Linked DNA regions of Caenorhabditis elegans. The protein of the gene in region 2 interacts with the protein of the main gene of each other region in a pairwise test. Each region holds a gene or a part of one and is shown on either strand. Other genes may lie near its edges.

Region 1 (7,306 bases), on a different chromosome or scaffold from region 2:
TAACATTGGAAGATCTATTCATTTTACTTCCCCCCCCCCCCCCCCCCACCATTTCGCTAAGTTTTCCAAAAGTTCACACCTGTATGACCCTCGTCTGTCTATCTCTCTTCAACGACCTTTTCCTGCATCGTTCTCGATATTGCGTAAAATCCCAACACATTGTCTTACTCTTGGGTAAAATCGAGAAAAAAAAGTATTTTTGATTGCGTAAGCATCAAAATGAAATGCAGGTGTTCACCACTAAAATGAAATGGAGGTCATGTTCGTACCCTGTGGTACAAGCCACAGAGAGTTCAATTTATATGATGAGCATTTGAAGAATTTTATTAGGTTCTAAAATACCATGAGCCTGGCAGCTGGAAAAATATTTTACTGTTTTTTTTTTTGCTTAGAAACCTAATACTATAGACTACACTGAATTGGTTGTGACAACCTACTGAAGAACAAGAGGGGTAGAACATTAAATAACGAATCTAAGAATTTACAATCGGTGTTACAATGTTAAAGTTTTCAGCAACTAACTTCAAAGAAAATTAAAATTTTAATGAATCAAGGGATATTGGTTTTTTGGTTCGATTTTGTTCTGGCTCTCCGAGAGAGAACTATATGCCTGATACTGATATATAAAAAATAAAGTTGAAAATGAAGTTTGTAAAAAATACAGCTTGAAATTCGTCAGTTTTACGTTTGTGGTTCAAGCAAGTCTGGAACCTAGAGTTTCCCTAAAATAATATTTATATTTAATTTTTCACACGACCTGAAGTTTTCTCTCAAAACAGTCTACTACATATTTCACATAGAACCCCAGACTCCATCTAACTTTTTGCGGCAAAACTACCATTCCTCTGCTCAAAACTTTTGCTCCAATTCTTTTCATCATAAAGTCTTTACTGATGACAATGAATGGTCAAGTATTCTCAGGGATGTCGTCGGGTCTTTTGAGCTCTTTTGAGTCTTCCAAAACTCCTTCAACTTGTGCCTCCAAAAAGATTTGAGGAGGCATTCTGAAGAATGGGAGCAACAACGGCAAGAAGTGTGTGGTGATTGTGCGCGGGATGAAAAGAGAACAAAGTTTTTGGGATGAGGTGGATGCTCCGTGAGCAATAAAAGGATCCGACAGGAAGGGAGTTTTCAAGAGTAATATTGACTATATAGGGCAAATATAATAACATGACCAAGGATACAGAACTGTTTTCCGAAAAAACCAGAATCCCAGAAAAGAACCACTTCTTAATTGAGAAAGTTTCAAAATTTGTTCAAGTCAAACTGCAGATAAAATGTATTGAAATTAAATAAAAATTGAAAACTCCGAGTTAAAGTTAAATTAAAAGATGAGTAGAGTGTGGTCAATCATAGTGGTTGCTTGAAAACTTCACACACTAGTAAAGTTTACAGTGGTCTAGGTTTTCAGATTTATAGTTTTCCAAAATAAGTTAAACATTTCAACTACAAGAGCACCTCAGTTAGATTTTCTGTACTCTGAACAATGTTACTTGAGCTATTAACATAAAACTACCACTCAATTGAATAATTTGGCATTCACCTGGATACTATGAAAACAAAAAATTGAATATTTGAAAAACAGTACACTAGAAAAACTCTCAAAATCAATCAGGGCGTGGCTTATTGCATCGTCTACAGTATCCCTCAGAGTCGTTTCTCTTCGCTTTCTCTCCGTCGGCTGTCAGTGGTGGTCGCTAGCTCCGCCCATGATTTGACGACGTGACTCGCCTTCGCCTTTCCGACTGCCTCTCACTCTCGCCTTAAGAAGAGAGAATTTGTCTTTTGGGAATCTGTGTGCTCAATATTCCGGAATTCTTGAATTAATGAATCTGGCGCCAAGAATGATGACTGCGGTTTCACAGATGTCGGTTCCAAGCAGTAAGTCAATTTTAAAAAGTTAATCGTCAACATCTAGAATCAGAAGATGAAAACTTCTACTTCGAACTTTCTTGGAAAAATGAGCTTTCTTAAACTTCCAGGCTTTAGCTGTAGAAAGCTTTTTTCCAATTCCCAACTTCAAAAGAAACTCAGATTTTAAAATTGGGATCTTGAGCAATTAATAAACGTAGGATGAGTTGCCCGGTGGGCATACTTCACATTCTTAGCCACATAAAATTGTTATTTTCTCATTTTAATTTCAATTTCAGAGTAGATTATTATTAATTTGAAATATTTAGGGAAGAATTTCCTAAAAATGGGTTTGGAAGTGCATAATATCGAAAAAAAAAGTGGGAGCTTTTTTGGCAAGATACATACGTATAGGATTTTGATACCTTCACAAAATTTTGAAAACCCTATGAAATACTCCTGTTTTTTTTTAAATATTTTTTTACTACCCATTGTCTTCAAATTTAACAAAATCTGAACCTTGACTTCTTCCATGGGATAAATCCATTAATATACAAACTACAGTAAATCCATGTATCTTTATATATGAGTTCTAGAAGCCTTAGTGCAGATGGGTTACTGTAGTTGTACCTAAACTAGTTTGTGTGAATGAAGAAAGAAAATGAAGAAATGTCTAATGTGAATATCATAATTTGAATGCATATCAATTTCAGTGTGAGAAAAAATTTCTAACTGAAAAATTAAGACATTATTTCAGAACCCTGATTTCAGAACTAAAAAGTCACATAAAACTTTCATAAAAATTCCTTTTTTTTTCCTAATCTCCCCGGCACGAGAACTCCAATAAGTAAAATAGGAAGTCATTAAACATAGTGACTCAATATTATGGTAGAAATGATTAGGTGTGAATTATGAGTTAGGTGATGGAATTAGTACAAGAATGGAAGAGTTTCTGTGGGAGATGCAGGTGTTTCGGGTCAATTGTGACACGTGGCACCTGTGGATTTAGCACCATTTAGCTAGAACTAGAATTGATTTGAAAGGTCATGATGTTAAATAAAATTAATTTTTTAAAGTCATACGAACAACATCAAAACTAATACTCAATATCCAAGAAGTAGAAACTCAATTTGAAATATTGTTCACTTCTTGCCTTTTTCTTTCAACAAATCCATTTCCATTCTGCCTTCATTCTCTTTTCATATTCTATTAATTAGGCAGGCAAGAGACACAGGAAGTGCTGAATAATTGGAGTCTCTCCTTCTTGGCTTTCTTGATTTCCTCATTCTATTTCACACCTAAAAATGATTATTTCTTCAGGTCGAATTCTATTGGATGTTGATTGTAGAGTCTGTGAAGATCATTCGTCGGGGAAGCATTACAGTATTTTTTCCTGCGACGGGTGTGCTGGATTCTTTAAAGTAAGTTTTAATGTTTATTGAGCTCTCATTTTTTAGATAGCTTAAAATATTCGAATTTGAGAGTAAATTTTAGTGGAAAATTTTTAAAAAAGTATTATCTAGACGCGAAAGTTTCCCATTTTTGCTCTAAAAATACGGTAACCGGTCTCGATGTGAATTTTTTTTATTAAACGGGAAAAGGTATGTGCCTTTAAACTGTACTGTAATTATGTACTCTCGTTTCTGCCGAATTTTTCTCCTGATTTATTAAAAATGTATGTGTTACATCTGAATTTTATTAAAAAACATATATTTTTATCGAAAAACCATCCAAAATTCGACAGAAACAAATTTATTGAACTACAGTACGTTTTAAAAGCGCACACCTTGGTTAGACAAGGTACTAATTTTTGCTGAAACTAATTGTTATATTATTGAATTTCCGGATAGATAAAAATGTGTTAATCTTCAACAAAAAATGTCTACAATCATTTTGCAACATTAACTTTGTTCTGCTCCGATTATAATGTATGTCTAGGATTTGAGACCTCATGAAATATTTTTTCAATGTGAATTGACTTTCAAATTTCCTTAGCATAATTATCATTGAAATTGAACAACAATTCCAAATTTCAGCGTTCAATCCGTCGTCATCGTCAATACGTGTGCAAAAACAAAGGCAGTCCATCCGAAGGACAATGCAAAGTGGACAAAACACACCGCAACCAGTGCAGGTGAGTTCTTAACGGTCACAGATTAGTGTTACGATCCCCTTTTATGCTCTTTACGTTCGAGTCCATACATTGATTGATGACACTTGGAGAATTTCAGAGCTTGCCGACTAAGAAAGTGTCTGGAAATTGGGATGAACAAAGATGCTGTCCAACATGAGAGAGGGCCTCGTAACTCAAGTTTAAGACGACAACAGATGATGTTCGATCATGGATCCTCTCCTAATTCGGTATGTGTTTGTGGGAATCTTAAATTCGGATATGTTACAAGGACAAAATATTTAATAATTTTAATTAAATTTATCGATTCTAATTTAGTTTTGAATTCATAATGACTTTCAAAATAGTTCCATTTAAATCTCATGATTACCGATCTTTCTCTTTCTCACTCACAAAAATCAGTGACTAAAGTGAAGTGAAAAAAGGATTTTGAGTAGAATTAGTACAGTAATCCGCAGGTGGATTTTGGTCGAGTTGACACCGACGCGGCGGCGACGAAAAGTAAAAAAGGTGAAAAGTTGTCGGTTGCTGTACAAATCTACAGTACCACCTGACAGGTGATTTGTCACTCTTGAACATAGTCAAACATTTTACTGGCGAAGGGAACACCTAGGATATAGAGCATGGTCAGAAATATGATTGCAATGAATTGCAATTTTCTACAACACGGTAACTTGGTTGTTGCCGGAAGTGCTGAGTATTCGTTAAGTTGGCAATTTTTTGAATTGGCAATTATCGAAGAATTAAACAAAACATTTTAATTTTTTTGTGGTACGTTTTTCTCAAAACGTCAAATTTCAAAAAAATATCCTCTAATTATCAGTTAAACACCAAATACGTGCCAAAACCGTGACAGATTCTTTAAAAAAGAGCACCTTGAAAAATCAGCCAGTTTCAAAAACTTGTGAATATATGTGTATTCTGGGGCAGATGTTTTAATGTTTCTATTTGTATTCGGATACAAATTACTCAATAATATTGTGCTCTTATGGATCTTAAGTGGGGACAACATAGTGTCAAATGATTATGTTGCATAAGTACTTGTTAGGGACAGCTGATTGGAAGAATTAGCAAATATCGTATACAAGAGGAAATTATGTCTAAAATTTCTATAATTAACTTTCAGTGAAAAAGTTAATATTATTAAGTAGATGATTTTAATTTTCCTTCATTTCAGCCGGAAATGGGATCAGAAAGTGATGCAATAATTCTTCCGACATCATCAATGAATCGTGACACAGTGGCCGGTACTGCTGCTCGAATCTTTTTTGCACTTGTTGGATTTTGTCAGAATCCTTTGAATGGAGTACCTAAAGAACGGCAAATGACAATGTTTCAACAAAATTGGGCAGCACTTCTTGTTCTCCATGCAACTGAAACACGTGCCATAACTTCTAAGCAAATAAGGACTGAGACGATATCCGGTAGCTCAGAGCAAAGAAATGCGGTATGCAGTAATATGAATCTGAATATTTTGAAAAATTAATGAATGTTCAGGTTGCTAACGCGTTTGAAATAATTGAACGTTTACAATTGGATAATAGAGAATACATGATGTTGAAACATTTCACAATGTGGAGAGATACACCAAGTGCAATTCAAATTGTCTTTCAGTTAGCATCTATTCAGAATTTCACACATAGAACCGAACCGACGAGATATATCCAGTAAGTTCCTTTTTTTATTTTTTTTTTCAATTTTCTTATTTTTGGAATAATGTGAGACTTCACTATAAAGGTAAACGCTGTTTTTCTGAGTGGGTTGCAACGATCAAAGTTAATTAAATATTGTATTTGCTAGTTTGAAGGTTGCTAATTCTTTTTTAAAATTAATTAATTAACCAATTGAAAAAGTTCATTTATAGTTTTTGTACGATTATCCTATTCAAAAGTTCATTTTTCGGCTCAAAATATAAAAAATTCCACAATTAAAAAAGCAGTGTTTTTTGTTCTCACAAAAAATGCAAATTATTTCCTATTTGCTTAAAAAGCGAAATTGATTATTGAAAACTAATGAAAACTAAACGCTCTAGTACCATCTTTCCTTCTGAAAACTTCACAGTCTGAAACCTATTTCAGATGTATAAATGCAATTGCCGCTATTCCAACAACTTCAATAATTGATGTTCTATTCCGCCCTTCAATTGGATCAGCTTCAATGCCAAGACTTATTCAAGACATGTTCAAGCCACCACAACAACCCACTCCTACGTCACTGTTTCCAATGGCAAACTTCAATTTGAACTTTCTATTAAAACAAGAAAAAACCGAAACTGAAGAGGGTGAAGATATTGAAGAAGAGGATGATGCGACGAGTAGCAATCAATTTGATGAAAATTCTTCTACTGATGATAGGTATGATGAGCATTTATTAGTACAGTGGATTAACTGAGTCTGTTGCAGATCTGTCGGAGAACTGGATCCCGTTCAACTTTTCTTGGCTCTTAATTCCTCAACTCAGCCTTCATCGGCATCATCCCCTTCCTCTTCAAGACCACGTCATTCGATTCGATCAATAACTGAATTATTATCAATTCAAGAAGAAGAGAGTGTTAATGTTGAAGAGGTTTAGATAGTAAATTCATGTTTCATATACAGTAACTCAATTATTCTAAGTATCTCTTTTCATTGTCTTTTTCACTCCGTTTCTTGCCTCGCCCGGATTTTCATTGGATTTTGATTTATACTTTCAAAATTTCATTTTTCAATTGTAAATTTTTAATTTAAATTTAGAGAAAAAAAATGGTAAGCTTTAAAACTAATTTATTATTTTCTGATTTATATTGTGAACAGATGAATAAAACGTTTACAACAATGGCAATTGGCATACAAACATCATTAAAAAAAGGTGAATCATACAGTTTTGAGAAGACTACATATGATTCGAAACATAAAAAACAATAGAAATCAATAAATGATGGGAGAGAAACCGAGAGATTTATTGGAAAATGGAACGGTTGAATGTCATATTGTGTCATCGTCGTTTTCCTTGTTAATGGCCTCGTTTCTTATCATATCCATATCATTCTGATATTCCCATTCAACTAGATGACCAAATCATTAGCTGACTGATTTCCCCCTTTTTAATGATTTGTTTATGGTTTTGTCAATAGTTTGAACGCGTTACGTTTTTGTAGATAAACCTGATTATGCTAGAATATTTTTTATTGAGATTTATTGACTAATTTAAAGTTTTAAACTAACAGAACAACAACCAATATTATAAAGAAAATGCTTTAAACTCATTTTTGAACATCCAGAACATCCGAAAAATAACCAACATGGTTAAGATTTTTCAAAGTTTTTAGTCAAAGTTTCGGTATCT
Region 2 (5,259 bases):
TTGATCTTATGCGCCCACTTTCTTGAAATGCATCAAAGAACATTTGTTTCTATGGACTTTTATATATGTGATAAAGATTTGTTGTCAATATTTTCATATGTTACTGAAGGAAAAATGGGTGGAGCCTTGGAGATATCGATGTAACTTTAGTCGCAAGATTAGTCCTATTGAAACAATTAAAAAAAATATTCAGATCAAATGCTTCGTCAGATTCTTCGTCCAATTTTGAGTATGGATTTTACACAAAAAACAATTTTCTAATTTCTTGACGATTCAGATTCTTCCCGCCGATTCGCAGATATAAAACCAAAACAAAGTGCGAAGGAGAAGGTGATGGCTGAGAAGACACCGAAAGGAGCACTTGATAAAGCAGACGAACAACAATATGAAGATCCTCACCTCAAGAAACATCCGGGAGGTGTGAATAAGTCAACTGGAGAAGTTGGTGGACCAGCTGGACCAGAGCCAACTCGATATGGTGATTGGGAGAGGAAGGGAAGAGTTTCAGATTTTTGAAATGTTTTATTAATTGCTGTTAAAGTCAAGTCAGATCATCATTGTTTTGTAGTGCAAATAAATAAATGTTTTAAACATAGAGTGACATTAATCGTAATAGGGTACACAAATACGAAAATTTGACAAACGAAATTAGAAGAGATGAGAGAGATGAAACGATTATCGTACAGAATAGGGGTTTTGAGTATCATGATCATAAATTCACTGCGGAAAAAAATTAATATTCAACTGCATAGAGAGTTGCCTTCTTCTCCCCTGATCCAGTGACAATGAGTGAGTCGTCGAATGAGATGTCACATGAGAGAACGGAGCTGTTCTCTTTTAGTTGAAAGAGTGATGCTCCGTATGGAGTACGCCAGGCGTTGAGAGCATTGTCCTGAAAAATTGAGATTATGAGGTTTCAATTAGAAAAATTGAGCCAATTACCGTATTTCTTCTATTAATATGGCTGCAATACTATTTTTCGATGGTCTTCCCGCTTGCAAGACTAATAGGGAGTGCAAGAATATTAGGGAGTGCAATACTAATTTTCAGAATATTTTTCTGACTTTGAGCTTACTAGTTTTTTTCTGAAAAAGCTCGAATCTTATGTAAAAATACAAAAAATTTTGATTTTAATTGTAACCTATAAGTTCAAAAACTTCAATTTCGTATAAATTTTGTGAAAAATTGTTGCACAATAGGCAAAAAATATTGTTGAAATCCTGAAATTAGCGAGATGGGTTTGCAATAAAAAAAAAGTAAACGCAAGACTATTAGAGAGTGCAATAGGGAGTGCCATACTAATTTTTGGAAGGTCTCCGAGGGGCAATACTAATAGGGAGTGCAAGTCTAATAGGGAGGCCATACTAATAGAAGAAATACGGTAAATGACAAAGTATAATCAAAACATACCTTTCCAGTTGAAATGAAGAACTTTCCGGAATGCGCAAATTTGAGCGAAAGGACGCATGATTCGTGTTGTGTCAATTGATACTTTTCTTTTCCAGTTGTTGACAGAACCTCGACATAATTATTCTCCATACCAACAGCCACCCATTCATCATTTGGACAACATCCAAGAGAGAAAACTTGGCTCGCAAAATCATGCTTCGCAACTTCCTTTCGTTGTGCAAGATCCCAGCATCTAACAGAATTGTCAAGACCACCTGACCAGAGCTTTGTACCATCTTTTGAGAGATCGAGACATGATGCTCCATCTTGATGTCCAGGTAGGGTTCCAACTTTCACCTTATTATGGATATCATAAATGAGGATATTTCCATCAGCAAGACATGCGAACAATAATTTCTCATCTGGTGACATCGCCAACGCGTAGCATGCTTGTGAATCAGTTTCCAAGTCCAAAGTTTTTGTTTCAGTTGTAAGATCCCAAAGAGCAACAGTACTGGCTTCTCCTCCAATCAGAAGTGTATTTCCATCTTCAAAGAGTTTACAAGATCTAATATAGTTCTCTTTGAGACAATCCAAGGATGCAATTGGAGGCCGATTCACAACCGTTGCGCCAGAAATATCTGATTCTTTGACATCCCAGATCTTAACACATCCTTTTCCACCAGTATAAACACGACTGTTATCACGGGAAATTGTGGCCGCACAAACTACTTCTCCGTGATTTAATTCCATTTTCTTCTTGAGACCTCTGCAATTTTTTTTTTCAAATTTGAATCAAAGCCAATTATTATATTTTCTTACGTCGGAATTCCGGGACCTTTCTGTGCATCTGGAGGGAAGGATGTAGGTGTTGGAACTCCACCGTCCACAATTTTGAATGAATAGGCCGGTCTGCTACCGATTTGCCCGATGGCAGCTGCAAGACGGGCCTGTGCATGGGGATCATTCAAAAAGTTGAATCCTCCAGCAGCACTAGCTTGTCGGAGAAGATTTGGATCTGAAAATTGAAATATTTTGGCATTGCCTGAAGTTTTGGTATTTGCTCCCTCCACTTAGCACACTTCAAAAGATTGTAAACACGTACTGAATCCAGCTAAAAAGTTCATTTGCTCCAATCCTTGAAGCCCAGCGAGTGGCTGCTGTTGTTGTCTTGCTCTAGAATTTGATGCGATGCTCGGTGTAGATGCTCCCGATGAGGCAACACTATTTGTGCTATCTCTTCCATTTTTATTAGCTGCGCCTCCATTTGATGCAGTACTTGGATGATCATCATTTGTGACATCAATCTCAAGTTCTCCATCATCTGGATCTTCCAGCTTGGCCTTTTTCGCTTCACTTGCACCTCCAGAACTTCCACCGGCTCCATCTCCACCGTTGACATGTGGTGATGCGAATTGATTGAATAGTTGACTCATTGCAGGGCTCATTCCGAATGGCATATTTGGCATCATTCCAAGCATTCCAGCTGCACCGGGAGGAAAACCTGGTGGAAGTGCTGGTGCTCCATTTCCATTTTCACGTGGTGATGCGGTTTTGAAAGCTTCCAGTGCGGCGAGGCAGTTTGCTTGATTATCTTGAGATAGTTGAGGAGCCAACTGAAAAATATACATTTATAATATTACCTAAAATTGATTATTATGAATTAAAAATATTACATAATAATTTTTCTTCTATTTATAAATGAATATATGGAAAGAGGAGCATGTTTGAGTTGAACAAGGTACAATCCAATAGATATTATAACGTTTCCATAATATTTAGTTCAAATATTTCAACAAAAAAATTGTAATAGCTTTTTCTATATTTTTGTTCGATTTTTTAATAACATTATTGACGAGTTAATTTACCGATTGCATGATGAATTCCTGAAGGCGTTTGTTGATTTCTTCTGCTTTTCGAAGATCGCTACGAAGAGTATTTGATACTTCAGCGTACGTCATATACGATCTATTCATATTTTCTTTCTCTAACGCAACCTTTTCGATATCCGACTGCAAAATTGTTTTCAATATACTAAAATTTCTCTTACAAAATTAAGCTTACTCGTTGCTGGTTGACATGCTTCGACATTTCCGCATGCTCGTCTTTGATTCGATCGAGGGTTTCCAGATACGATGCCTTCATTTTTACTGAAAATTAAATACAATCAAGTGGATAGTGAATTATTAACATAAAAATTATGAGAGGAGTTTTAAAAATTCGATCAAAAAAATGCAAGGAAGAACAGACTAGTGATGGATTGGGAGAAGACAACAAAACTCAAGAAATAGCACGTGGTTTGAATAGACGTTGACAACGAGACGAAGAAACAAAGAAAGAGGACATGGGTTTCCAGTGGTGTAGACGGAGAGAATCATACATTAATTGCAAAACGACTGGTCATATAGCCCCACTAACGTTGAAGAATGAAGGAGGTATTGGTGTCGAGGAGGACGAACGCGCGGCGATGAATGCGACGCTGAATGGGTGACCGAATGGGGGGAGGAGTTGTCGATAGAGCACATTTGTTTTGAGCTCTTTTGAGCCCGAGTGTAGAAGATGAATGTATCCAATAAGTTTGATATTCAAGTAACACGAGGATCCGAGGATTTCTAACTAATATTTCGAATCAAACACGATGAAGCTGCAACTTACTATAGAGAGAAGCATTTATAAATATTTTACATGTACATAATCACAATTCCAGTATAAAAAACTCACAAAATTATCTAAAAAAACGGAAAAGGTTGAAATATTGAATAAAGAGACATAAACCTGTCTTGAAGAAAATATTTTTAAAAAATCATGTTTAACAAATAATAAGTTTATTGACATGGTATGTTCTTAAATAATTTGAGATTGAAAATCGGTAAGAAAATGAGATGAGAATCAAATGATAATAGTGAAAATTGAGATTCAAATGGAAAGAATAAAAACTCTTGAATGATTCTATTAGATTAAACAACAAGACGGTATACTGTAGCAGTCATGAAAATTTAAAAAAAAACCAAAACATGAATGAAGCTCCATTTTGTCATTTGTAACTAATTAGAAGCATTCCGGAGTGTTGAAGAATATATTACACATATAAAAACTCGAGAGTTTAAACTCATTAGGAAATCAAATATAATTGTCGTTTCATTGCTAACTGATCAGAAGACTGGACTCGTGCCTCTGGAGACACTTTCTTCTTCGTCATCAACCTCCTGCTTCACCTAAAAATACATTTTTAGATTAAGAGTGCAAGTCGTCTCGTGAAAAATATATTCTTGAACACGACACTTGATTTAAGGGCAGCGTAAATTTATATAAGGATTAAGGTAAATGAAGCTATCAACAACTAACAAGGTTATGCCCTTTGATCAATCATTTCATTTCAGTAATTGACACATTCATTTCCCACAATGTTAGATTTTATCGAAAAAGGAGGGATGTGATGGGTGGTTATAAACATTCAAAGATTCGAGAAGGCGATAATTGGTTGGATGTGTGTAACAGATGGTGGTGAGACGATGGTGTACACATTTGTTTGCACTTTATGTCATCATTATGACAACGAATACAATGAAAGTCAGATTTATGTTCCAGAAATAGAAAATTCCCATATAAGGGTCACCTTGGGTCAAATTGATGTCGGTTGATGGAAAAGGGATGTTTAATGGGTGAATGAGAATAATAAAATGTATGTGGTCGAGGCATTTGGAACTACATACATTTTATGTCTGGGATGCCGCTGTTTTAGATCATTTCACAAATTGAAATGAACATTTGACACAAATGTGGTCCTATTAATCAGCGCATTGAAACAGTTTCGCACCGAATATCCACAATTTATATTGAAAAATAATGATTTCTTTTTTATTCAAAACA
Region 3 (4,572 bases), on a different chromosome or scaffold from region 2:
TTTCAGAATCACTGGAACATTCCACTTGTTCAATCTCTGGGAGTTGAAGGTGGTCAGCACAATACGGTGTCATTCCCATTACACGGAAAAGACGCTGGAAATTTGAAAGTTGACAACGGATACGGAGTCGGTGGTTACTATCAGCAAAATGATCATGTTGGAGTGAATTACAAGGAAGGAGATGTTCGACACACATTCGGAGTTAGTTCTCCGTTTGTTGGAGCAGGTTTCCAGACTGGACAGGCTGTTGCATTTCCTGGTTTAGACGTTTGGGAACGGGCACTTGGATAATCTAGAATGTATTATTTGTTGTTTGAATGTCGATACAGGTTCAATGAACTCAAAAATTGTTAATTTGTGAAATAAGTCTTTAGAAAACGCTATACAATCATTTTTCTTCCATCTTTCGCGTAAAGTATGTACTGTGCTTTCTTGAATATTTTTATCAATTCAATCTAATATCTAGATCATTTCTAGGATTTTGCCAATTTTCAAAAAAAAAGTTCAAAATATAAAATCTCTGTTTGTATATATTGATTTTCGACACATTTTATTTACGATTAATAAAGTGAAACAATCAACGATTCTTTTCTGGGAAAATAGGGCAATACACAAATCATAAATACACAAGGTAATGACAGAAAAATTAAAATATTTGTCTCTAATCTACGACAACTATATTATGCACCGATGTCAAGTGTTGTTGAAGATGATCGGAACGAGAAAATTGGCGAATGCAAAATTTGCAAGCAAATCTGAAATGTTAGCTGTATTTAGCTGAAATTTTAGCTGTTAATGAATTTTTTTGTTGGAAAGTTTCAAGGCTATAACAAATTGAATTCTTCAACTGGTACACGCTTTAGGAAAAAAAATTTCAAGAATCATGTTCAGAAATTTAAAACGCCTTATTACCGGATACCTCAATATTCAATTAATGTCTAATTTGAATTTGTATTAAAATCTAACCTATATTCTTTTGTATGCGTCCTCTTATGCCTGATCAGTTGATCACTTCTGTCAAATCTCTTTCCACAATCAAACCAATCGCAAACGAATGGGCGGTCTCCGGTATGCTTCCTGCAAAATTACAGTAACTCATTGTTTTTCAAGTCTAAATTTATATCGTGACCACTTATTGCTCCAATATTCCAGGAAATTCACCTTAAATGTGCTCTTAAATGGCTTGTCTTTTTATATGTTTTTCCACAACCAGGGACACTGCACAGGTGAGTGTGTTGAGACCCTCGATCGCCATGCTTTCTGCAAAACATGTTACATTTGGTTTTGAGGACAAATATTGATACTAATTTGTCAAAGGAACACCAGTGCTCAACCGACAAGGTTTGTTACCACAAATAAGGTGAAAGGGCACAGCGGGGAAAATAGAAAGGAGCTAATGAGTCATTCTTATCAGAAACAATAAACAAGGTCATAGCAGTTAAGGAGGTGACCGCTATAAATAATTTTTAACAATTCTTACTTTTTTATCTCTATCTAAAATTATTAAAGTTGTAGAATCATCTCAAAACTGTTGTTCGCGTAAAAATCTGAACCTTGCAAAAAGGAACGAGACAAAAAGGATAAAATAAATTGAAATATTCAGTATATGACCAGTTATTGTTAGTTCATTGTCGCTTCAGCTCTTGCCAGAACTACAGAAATAAGAGAATAAATTACTTTTCTTTGTAAAACGATATGTAACGAAATGCGCTTGTTCAAGTGAAATTACGCAATTAACTTTTCAGTAGTTCTTTCTATGAGTAAGGTCAGTTATGCACACTTATTACTGTTGGACGGTCTGATCAAAAATATTCTATAGAATTTCAACATGAAAAATTTGCTCTAAATAAATGACCATGCACCGTACCAAAAATTCAAAATGTTTTAAATCAGATTTTTTGGGTTTCCATAGAATTTTTAATGAAACGAAATTATTGTTGAACTGATTTTCAATGATAATATTTGTACATGGCTCAGTTTCAACTTTTGAATCTACAATTTCAAGGGCACCCACATTTCCAGAAAGATCGAAGATCTATTTTGAGCTTTGCTCCACTACATAATACAACTATGTTGAGCTTCTTTACCGTAGTCGTCTCTATTCTAATAGCCTCATTCAACTAGGCCGCCCGTCGCGATTCAAGAACTCATTCCGACGCCTCCATCTAAATCCTTTCTCCCTCTTCTGCTTTCGGCTTCTCATTTCTTCTAAAACCCATAAAAACTCACATGGCTTTGCAATTCGGGCATGTGCATCTCTCGCATTTTCTTCTCTTGGTGGTCAACTCATTGGCTCCAATGCTAGATGAAGATGAGCTTGCAGATGTGGATGCCGGAGAGTCAGGAGGTGATATTGAGGGAAGCGAGTGATGATAACTCCCATGGCTCTCCCATGGACGAAAGAACTTTGTTGCTGCTCCGTCCATCAGTTGTCCTCTGCTGTGGTTCCAAATAAACCAGGACAGGAGGTCTCCGTGAATGAAAAAATCTCTGTGAGGGTACTGGTGGTGGGCGGAGCTCTTAGTCCCTCCCTCCCTTGCCACACACTCGTTACGGTGGGAATTAGCGGTAGTGGGGCGCCAGGGATTTTTCTCTCTCAATTCCCCTCTGTCTTTTCACAAAAAAAAACGAACAACATTGGGGGGCTCCGCTCCGCTCTGATAGACCGGCGGCGGAGAGGCGACGGCTTCTTTTGATGTTGTCTGTCTCTTGGCTCTCCGCGTTATCAGCCTCCTCTCTTCCTCCAATGATGGCGGCATCATAAAAGAGGCACCGGTGCCCCGTAATCACCTTTTTCACTTTTTCGTCTGCAGTGTCCACACAGACTCTCGTCATTTTAGGGTTATTAATCAGTGTCCTTTTTGATAAGAGCTCACTCAATTGAGTACTTGTGCAACCTGAAAAGAGGTGAGTTGTGTGATTTGAATCGAACAACTGAACAAAAAGGGTGGAGCAGTTAAATGAGAGGAAGGAAAAATCAAGGAAAATTGATACAGTTCTGGAAAATTATTTCAAGAGTTCTTCTGAGAAAGAAAAAAACTATGAGCATAGATGTGACAAGTTGATAATTCTGAAGGGTCAATTCTCAAGGGGTACTGTATGGTTAATAAAAACATTTTTTCACTTCGCAATTGTATTTTCTTGAATGTAAATTGTCAGTTGGGCATAAATTACTCTGAGATTCGTGGCAACTGGGGACGGGAATTGCATACCGTTTTTTCCAGTTGATCCATTTTTCTACAATAATTTTTTTCATTTAGAAAATTATATTATTGAAACTAACTCAATTTTGCATTGAATCAGGTTTTCTCATAAAAAATATCCAGTTCAAGAAGAAGTGCGGAATTTTCATCTACAGTGGATGCAAATTCGACAGTAACCACCGTCCATTTTTTTTAGAAATCTTAATGTTACGGTATACTTTTTTTGAGCCCCAAATATCTCGTAACTCTTTGCTAAAGCAAAGAAGATTTCTGCTTTGTGAAATTGAATATTGATGCATTCAAGACAATTCGACCTCCTCAAAACCAATGAACCTGGACGATTAACGACGTGCACACGACGACCCCGAGAACCAAGTGACAAATGCTCGTTTTTTGTTTCGTTCGGCAGCAAAAAGTAAGAGAGATAGATGAAAAGATGCACTTTTAGAGTTTTAGAATCGCGGAGGTCTTGAGGGAAAAAAATGAGAATGGCACCTGAAATGACAGGCAAATTTCAGACTTAGATGCGGGGATCTTGTGAAAGTAGCGTTTCTCGCTAAATCTCGCCAACGAACGGTTTTTTCAAAGCAAACTAAAAACTGATACTTTGCATTGATTATCATGCCAGACGGTATTTAAGATTATTAAATGAATGACTATTAAACTGTGGGTGCTAGCAAATGTTCTGCACTAGCGATGTTGGGGCACTCCTCGGAATTTAAAAATAATTGCATCAAATCTCTGAAAATCCTTCCAACGGTGAAAAGTGAAACAGATGTTGCTAATCCGTTACCGTACTACCAAGAAAACCGAGAAGTTTCCGTCGTGCAGTATAACTATCCTTCATGGTCACTTACAGAATCGGTAAACAGCCACGGACAGGCGTAAGATTTTATGCACATCGTATTATACTTTGTAAGCTGTAATATTTTATTTTAACATAAAATTACTGTACATATTTTGCTTCCTCTATGACAGTTGCGTACCTTTCAGTATTGCACTGCTTCATCTGTTCTTTAAACTTATTAGCTTGTCATAATGTTGTCATAGACAGGCAACTTGCAATTTATATAATTATCGTTTATAATTATCAAATCTATCATTTTTACAAATTGTTCAAAACAGTTCCATTTCTATTGTTGTCTCTATTTCTCTCCCGTCTGCCAATACTATTTCACTGTCGTTGCAAGTGTTTTGTTAGTTAAAAAGGTCAGGTCATTTCCTCAATCTGTTCGCACCGTGCAGAGTATCGCACCGCAATAAACATATATCCAGAAGAAAGGAAAGATGACAGTCTTCTCTTTCTTGTTTCCCTCTACTTTTTGCTCACTTGTTGTGGTCATAGTCATCTGCTCAACATCACTCTTAA
Region 4 (4,939 bases), 960 kb from region 2:
CGCCGCGCTGAACGTCCTCCAATGTTTTTTGTCGTCGAAGTCGTTTCCAGGCCACTGGCTGCACTTTTTTCAAAATGATGGCTAACGACACCATTTGACAGTTGAAAAAATTAGACTTCAGAATAATTGTCATAATTAACAAATCCATGTTCTCAGTAATTAATTCTTCATATAAAAAATTATCTAGAAGTCGCAGTAATGCACTTTATAAGGACAACGACAACTCACTTCGGTTCTAGAAACTTCTTCATCAAAACCTATAATTATCATCGTGAGCTTGACCATAGGTAGAAATTATGTTGATAATAACTGATAATCACAAGACTCGATTACGTGATATTTCGCTCCTCCCTTTCCATCCATCACATATATCTTTTGAAGTCTCAGCTTCTTCTGAGCTCGAAGCTTCAAAGGCAATTAGCCGCACCTGTGGTGTCAAAATTGAAGAAACAACCAGGCATTCTCTAGGTCTAGAAGAATATAAATGTGATTGTAATCCATCTTTTCGTTCCTCTTTCTTCCTCTACTTCTCTCAATTCTTCTTCCCGCATTTTTTTGTGTGGAGGCCCCCGAGTCCTCCATCCATCAAAAGCTCACCAGTCATTTCGAGTCGAATAAAATGAGCATTTGGTGGTGGATGCAGAAGAGCCGTCTTCTTTCTCTCCTTGTGGTCGTGCGCACATAAGAAGACAAAAACCCATCGTTTTTAATCGAATACAAAAGACTCATTCTTGCACAACACTACACAAATTTATATTCATCTTCAGTATTAGAAAAGTCTTGTGGTATTGAATAAGCTCGACTTTCTGACTTTTCAATGTTTCCAAATACTTCAGCAAATTAATATCAACGAAATTTTCGCACGATTTGTAACCCCCTGGTTCAGGCGCTTTTAAATTTTTATTCATGTTCGGTATTAAACTTTGAGAGATTTGTGAGCCAGAGAGCCGCCTACCACCAATTTTTATGGCGTTTCTTTTTTCCGGGGTCTAGGCTCTGGGATCCATAACGTGCCAGAGTGCACTCTGTTTTTTAATCAGAAAATAAGTTCCGCCGTTTTCAAACGAATAAAAAAGTGAGAGGAAAAGTTTTGACACCCAATATGTTCTTCATTATCACTACTTATCAGTTGGCATTCTCTTTTACAACACTCCTCTGCGCCGATTAGACTGGCTTATTTATTACCCTTGGAAGATGGGGATGCACAATTTGCAACTTATAGATAGAAAGTTTTTGAATTTTTCACTTGGCTTTTAAAAATAAACAAGTTTGAGCTATTTTTTAATATTTGAAATTCGACTAGTTTTTCATTCAATTTCAATTTCAAAAATCATCACATCTGTATCACCCAGACGCGAAATTTTGAGATTTTTTAATCTAAAAAAACGGTTAACAGTCTCGACTTCAAACACTTTGCTGCGAAATTTTGATCGTAAAATTAAATGTAAAAAATCGATAAAATTCTGCAAAAACACACATTTGAAATTACAGTACTCATTAAAGGCACACACCTTTTCGCATATTACAATAAACTGTCGTGTCGAGACCAGGCAGCATATTTTTGTGCAAACTCCTTTGAAATTATTGTTATTACAGATTTTTTGAAATTAGTAATTTCGGAAGTCTCCAAATTCTTAAAATGTCCTTTCCTTCCTTCGTCTCCTTCTCACTTTCCCGGCGGTAATTGGTTTTGGCGTAGAACATGGCGCCGGCGCAAACACATTGACGCAAAAGTTCACAATTTAAAAGACCGTGTAAACAAGACCTCCTCCCCCTGTCCGCTCGTCTTCTCAAAGAACTTTTTTATCTTTTCCGTTGTTTTATCGCTTTTCTCATAATAAAAATAAAAATCGTCGTTGAAGAAATAAAATGGGCCCCGCCGTTGGTGTGTGTGTGCCATCACAACCATCAATTCAAACTTTGTTTTATTTCTACTTTTTTGCAGCTCATTGCTCCGTGACGGATTCAAATTGTTGTTTTTCTTCGCGACAAACAAGAAAGACTCTGGAATTGTATCGTTTTCGAATTTTTAAAATTTGGAATTTTTGATCGCCTGTCGATCAACCCCCGTCTACAATCACGTCGGACCAACGAAGATTCGCGAATCCGAACTTCTCGCATCCTAGCTCGAGTAGTTCAAGGGAAAAGTAGGTTTTTATTATATTTTAAAAGTAAAAGATTTGTTGACAAATAGTTGAAAATGGTATTCTAAAAGTTGAGAAAATTAAAAATATGAAAGGTTCACTAGAGGCATATTTTTCATTTTGAAAGTATCAAAATAAATTCAAAAACAGCGTTTAATTTCTTTTAGAAAACTAGAAATTCGAAAACTAGAAATTGGTGAATATGAACAGTATTTAATTTATATTTTAGTAGGAAACGAAGTGGATCAGCCAGCGGAATGTCACTAGCAGATCATATTGATGCAATCAAAAAAGAAATGACAAGTCTATCGAGCCAATTCAACTCGAATAAATCAGAACTTGAACGATCAAAACAGGATTTATCATCAATGCAACTACAAATGCAACAACAAATGAACGATTCAGTACAGCAGGACCTCCAGAAAGCTCATGATACATCGAAGAAATTAGATAATCTTGCAAGGACGTTTCTTGCATTAATTACTGATCCATCGCAACAATCACAATTATTAGCGGAATTTGAATCAATTTCCAAGAACGGAACACCTCAAATGCCAGTGATGACACCTCCAATGATGAATGCAGTTGCTGCAATGCAACCACATATGATGATGAGGAATCCAATGCTGAATGCAATGGGTGGAGCATCACCACGTGTTTCTGGAAAAGGTGGAGCTCCACAAAACGGTGGAATGAATGGGATGTCGATGATGCAGCACATGCAAATGCAAGCATTCCAGGCACAAATGATGCAAGCTCAAATGTTTCAGCAGATGCCGATGATGATGCCAGGGATGGTTCCTGGAATGCCACCGGGAATGGCTGGATTGCCTGGAATGATGCCACCGAATAATATGGCAGCTGCAATGCAACATTTTAATGCGGTAAGTGTTAACTATTATTCAAAATGTTGAGATTAAATTATGTTTATCGTAATTTTCTCTTAGGGGCACGGATTTATCCAGATGGGGTCGGCGGGGAAAAATCTATGATAGTTTTTTTTTTGAATTTTTACGGCATCTTCCTTGCCTTTTTAGCGAATTTTTCTGCTAAAAAACGTCTATGTTTGAAGTATAAATTTCAACAAAAAAAACTACCATAAACGTTTTGCGCACCGATCCCATCATAAAATATCCGTGAGCCTTTAATTTGAAATCTAGTGAAATTACGACAGTAAAAGTGAAATTCAAGAAAATTAATGTAGAAATACAAAGGATGTTTTAAATGTACTTTTTAGAGCAGTTTGATATTACTAGAAAACTTACTATTACTAGAAAAGATAGAAGAAATTAATATTTTTTAGCTCCTTCAGAAGATATTCCAAAAACCTCGATATCTCAATTTTCTATCCATTTCTGTACAACATATTTTCATAATCTTCCAGTTTCAGCAAATGGCCGCCGCTGCATCGGTAGCAGTTTCTACACCATCAAGGAATCCATCAACATCTGGAGCCGCTTCTCGAACACGAACTCCATTAACCACATCAGCCACGAATTCACCTCGACCCACCACAGAACCAACGATTAAAGAAGAAGAACCACAGACAATGGAACATGATGTAGCTGCTGCTGTGGCCGCAACTACTGCTACTGCAACAATCAAACAAGAAGAAAATTCGACAGTGGCGGTTGCTTGATCCTGTACCGACATATTTTAGTATTATCGATTGTGATATCTATCGATATATAGTGTAATCTCTCATCCTCTCAAAATCCTCCTTTTTCGGTGGCGGCTGACCTCTGGATCCATTTTTTCTTTTTTGAAAAATATTGTTTTTATGTTTGGCCTTTTCGCATTCTAATACAGGTCCAACTTTCCGTTTTAAATATTCGTTGTTTCTTTTTTTTTCAATCGCCGTCCATTTTAAAATGAAATTCTCATAATGTTCTCTGCTGCGTCGGACTTTTTTGTCGATCTCTTTGTTATTCCAGCCCATCAGTTTCATCATTTTTATTCTTCAAAAATTTGAGAAATCTTTCAGTTTCTTGTTCCCCCCAATCCTCCCCATTCGCTTTTTTTTGCATCCCGCAGCGGGTATCTCGTTTTGATTAATAGAAGAGTAATTTCCCAATCACAAAACCATCACCAGGAATGTTTCAAATTTTCCAGTATTTATCTATCAATTCGTCACCTCACTTGTCTCGCATTTTCTCGTTGTTTCCGTGCTTCTTGTGAATATGATATTTGATACAAAATTCTCATTTCGGTTTTCTCCAGTGTTGCTCTTCTCAATTGTTCTTTATGAATCGCGTGATAACGCTCATAAAACAGATTTGGCTGTTTATTCACATTGAAAGCATAAAAACGAAAATCACAATATCCCGATAAACCGAGTTACTAAATAGAATACAATAATTTAGAAGACACATCTACATTAGGCTATTTGAAGGTATTCATGGAAGAGCAGCAGTCAGTTCTGGGACGGCCTTGAACAAATCGGCTTTCAATCCAATATCAGCGACCTGAATTATTTAGAATTAACAATTTTGTGTTAAATTCAATTTTTACCTGGAAAATTGGTGCATCAGGATCCTTGTTGATGGCGACAATCACCTTTGAGTCCTTCATTCCAGCCAAATGTTGAATGGCTCCAGAAATTCCGATTGCAATGTAGAGTTCCTATAAATTAATTCATTTTTCTTTGCTTCTCACTTAATGGATTTCTTACCGGCGCTACAATCTTTCCAGTCTGACCGACTTGCATGTCATTTGGTACGTATCCAGCATCAACAGCGGCACGGGATGCTCCGACTCCGGCTCCGAGCTTATCAGCAAGATCATAGATGAGCTTG

Evidence for each region.
Region 1: the proteins of unc-37 (region 2) and nhr-67 interact in binary tests that used the Caenorhabditis elegans proteins (3 or more experiments, as listed by UniProt).
Region 3: the proteins of unc-37 (region 2) and sptf-2 interact in binary tests that used the Caenorhabditis elegans proteins (3 or more experiments, as listed by UniProt).
Region 4: the proteins of unc-37 (region 2) and lsy-22 interact in a two-hybrid assay, tested with the Caenorhabditis elegans proteins (3 studies listed by BioGRID).

What each region holds. Positions count from the first base shown.
Region 1 is NC_003282.8:11,167,990-11,175,295, forward strand, and holds nhr-67 (Nuclear hormone receptor family member nhr-67), read left to right. Parts: upstream 1-1,758; 5' UTR 1,759-1,844; coding exon 1,845-1,881; intron 1,882-3,171; coding exon 3,172-3,272; intron 3,273-3,887; coding exon 3,888-3,985; intron 3,986-4,082; coding exon 4,083-4,212; intron 4,213-4,420; exon of another isoform or gene 4,421-4,550; intron 4,551-5,159; coding exon 5,160-5,429; intron 5,430-5,479; coding exon 5,480-5,649; intron 5,650-6,060; coding exon 6,061-6,336; intron 6,337-6,384; coding exon 6,385-6,553; 3' UTR 6,554-6,802; downstream 6,803-7,306. UniProt on the Caenorhabditis elegans protein: Orphan nuclear receptor that binds DNA containing an extended core motif half-site sequence 5'-AAGTCA-3'.
Region 2 is NC_003279.8:6,741,791-6,747,049, forward strand, and holds unc-37 (Transcription factor unc-37), read right to left. Parts: upstream 3,540-5,259; 5' UTR 3,535-3,539; coding exon 3,454-3,534; intron 3,402-3,453; coding exon 3,258-3,401; intron 3,006-3,257; coding exon 2,495-3,005; intron 2,408-2,494; coding exon 2,212-2,407; intron 2,159-2,211; coding exon 1,411-2,158; intron 893-1,410; coding exon 734-892; 3' UTR 517-733; downstream 1-516. Other genes in the region: W02D3.12 (Succinate dehydrogenase assembly factor 4, mitochondrial), read left to right, coding at 199-229, 278-516; fnci-1 (FANCI helical domain-containing protein), read right to left, coding at 4,542-4,604. UniProt on the Caenorhabditis elegans protein: Transcriptional corepressor that functions with the neural specificity gene unc-4 to govern motor neuron identity. In concert with unc-4, represses the expression of VB-specific genes such as ceh-12, thereby preventing the adoption of VB motor neuron fate.
Region 3 is NC_003280.10:8,623,582-8,628,153, reverse strand, and holds sptf-2 (Specificity protein transcription factor 2), read right to left. Parts: upstream 2,696-4,572; 5' UTR 2,427-2,695; coding exon 2,230-2,426; intron 1,261-2,229; coding exon 1,162-1,260; intron 1,078-1,161; coding exon 967-1,077; intron 756-966; coding exon 662-755; 3' UTR 532-661; downstream 1-531. Other genes in the region: T22C8.6 (Ntox44 domain-containing protein), read left to right, coding at 7-291. UniProt on the Caenorhabditis elegans protein: Transcription factor. Probably acts downstream of the Wnt signaling pathway.
Region 4 is NC_003279.8:7,704,056-7,708,994, reverse strand, and holds lsy-22 (STI1 domain-containing protein), read left to right. Parts: upstream 1-1,945; 5' UTR 1,946-1,970; coding exon of another isoform or gene 1,971-2,033; 5' UTR 2,034-2,147; intron 2,148-2,373; 5' UTR 2,374-2,401; coding exon 2,402-3,028; intron 3,029-3,528; coding exon 3,529-3,783; 3' UTR 3,784-4,429; downstream 4,430-4,939. Other genes in the region: F27D4.12 (Photosystem II protein I), read left to right, coding at 1,971-2,033; etfa-1 (putative electron transfer flavoprotein subunit alpha, mitochondrial), read right to left, coding at 4,541-4,609, 4,656-4,766, 4,816-4,939.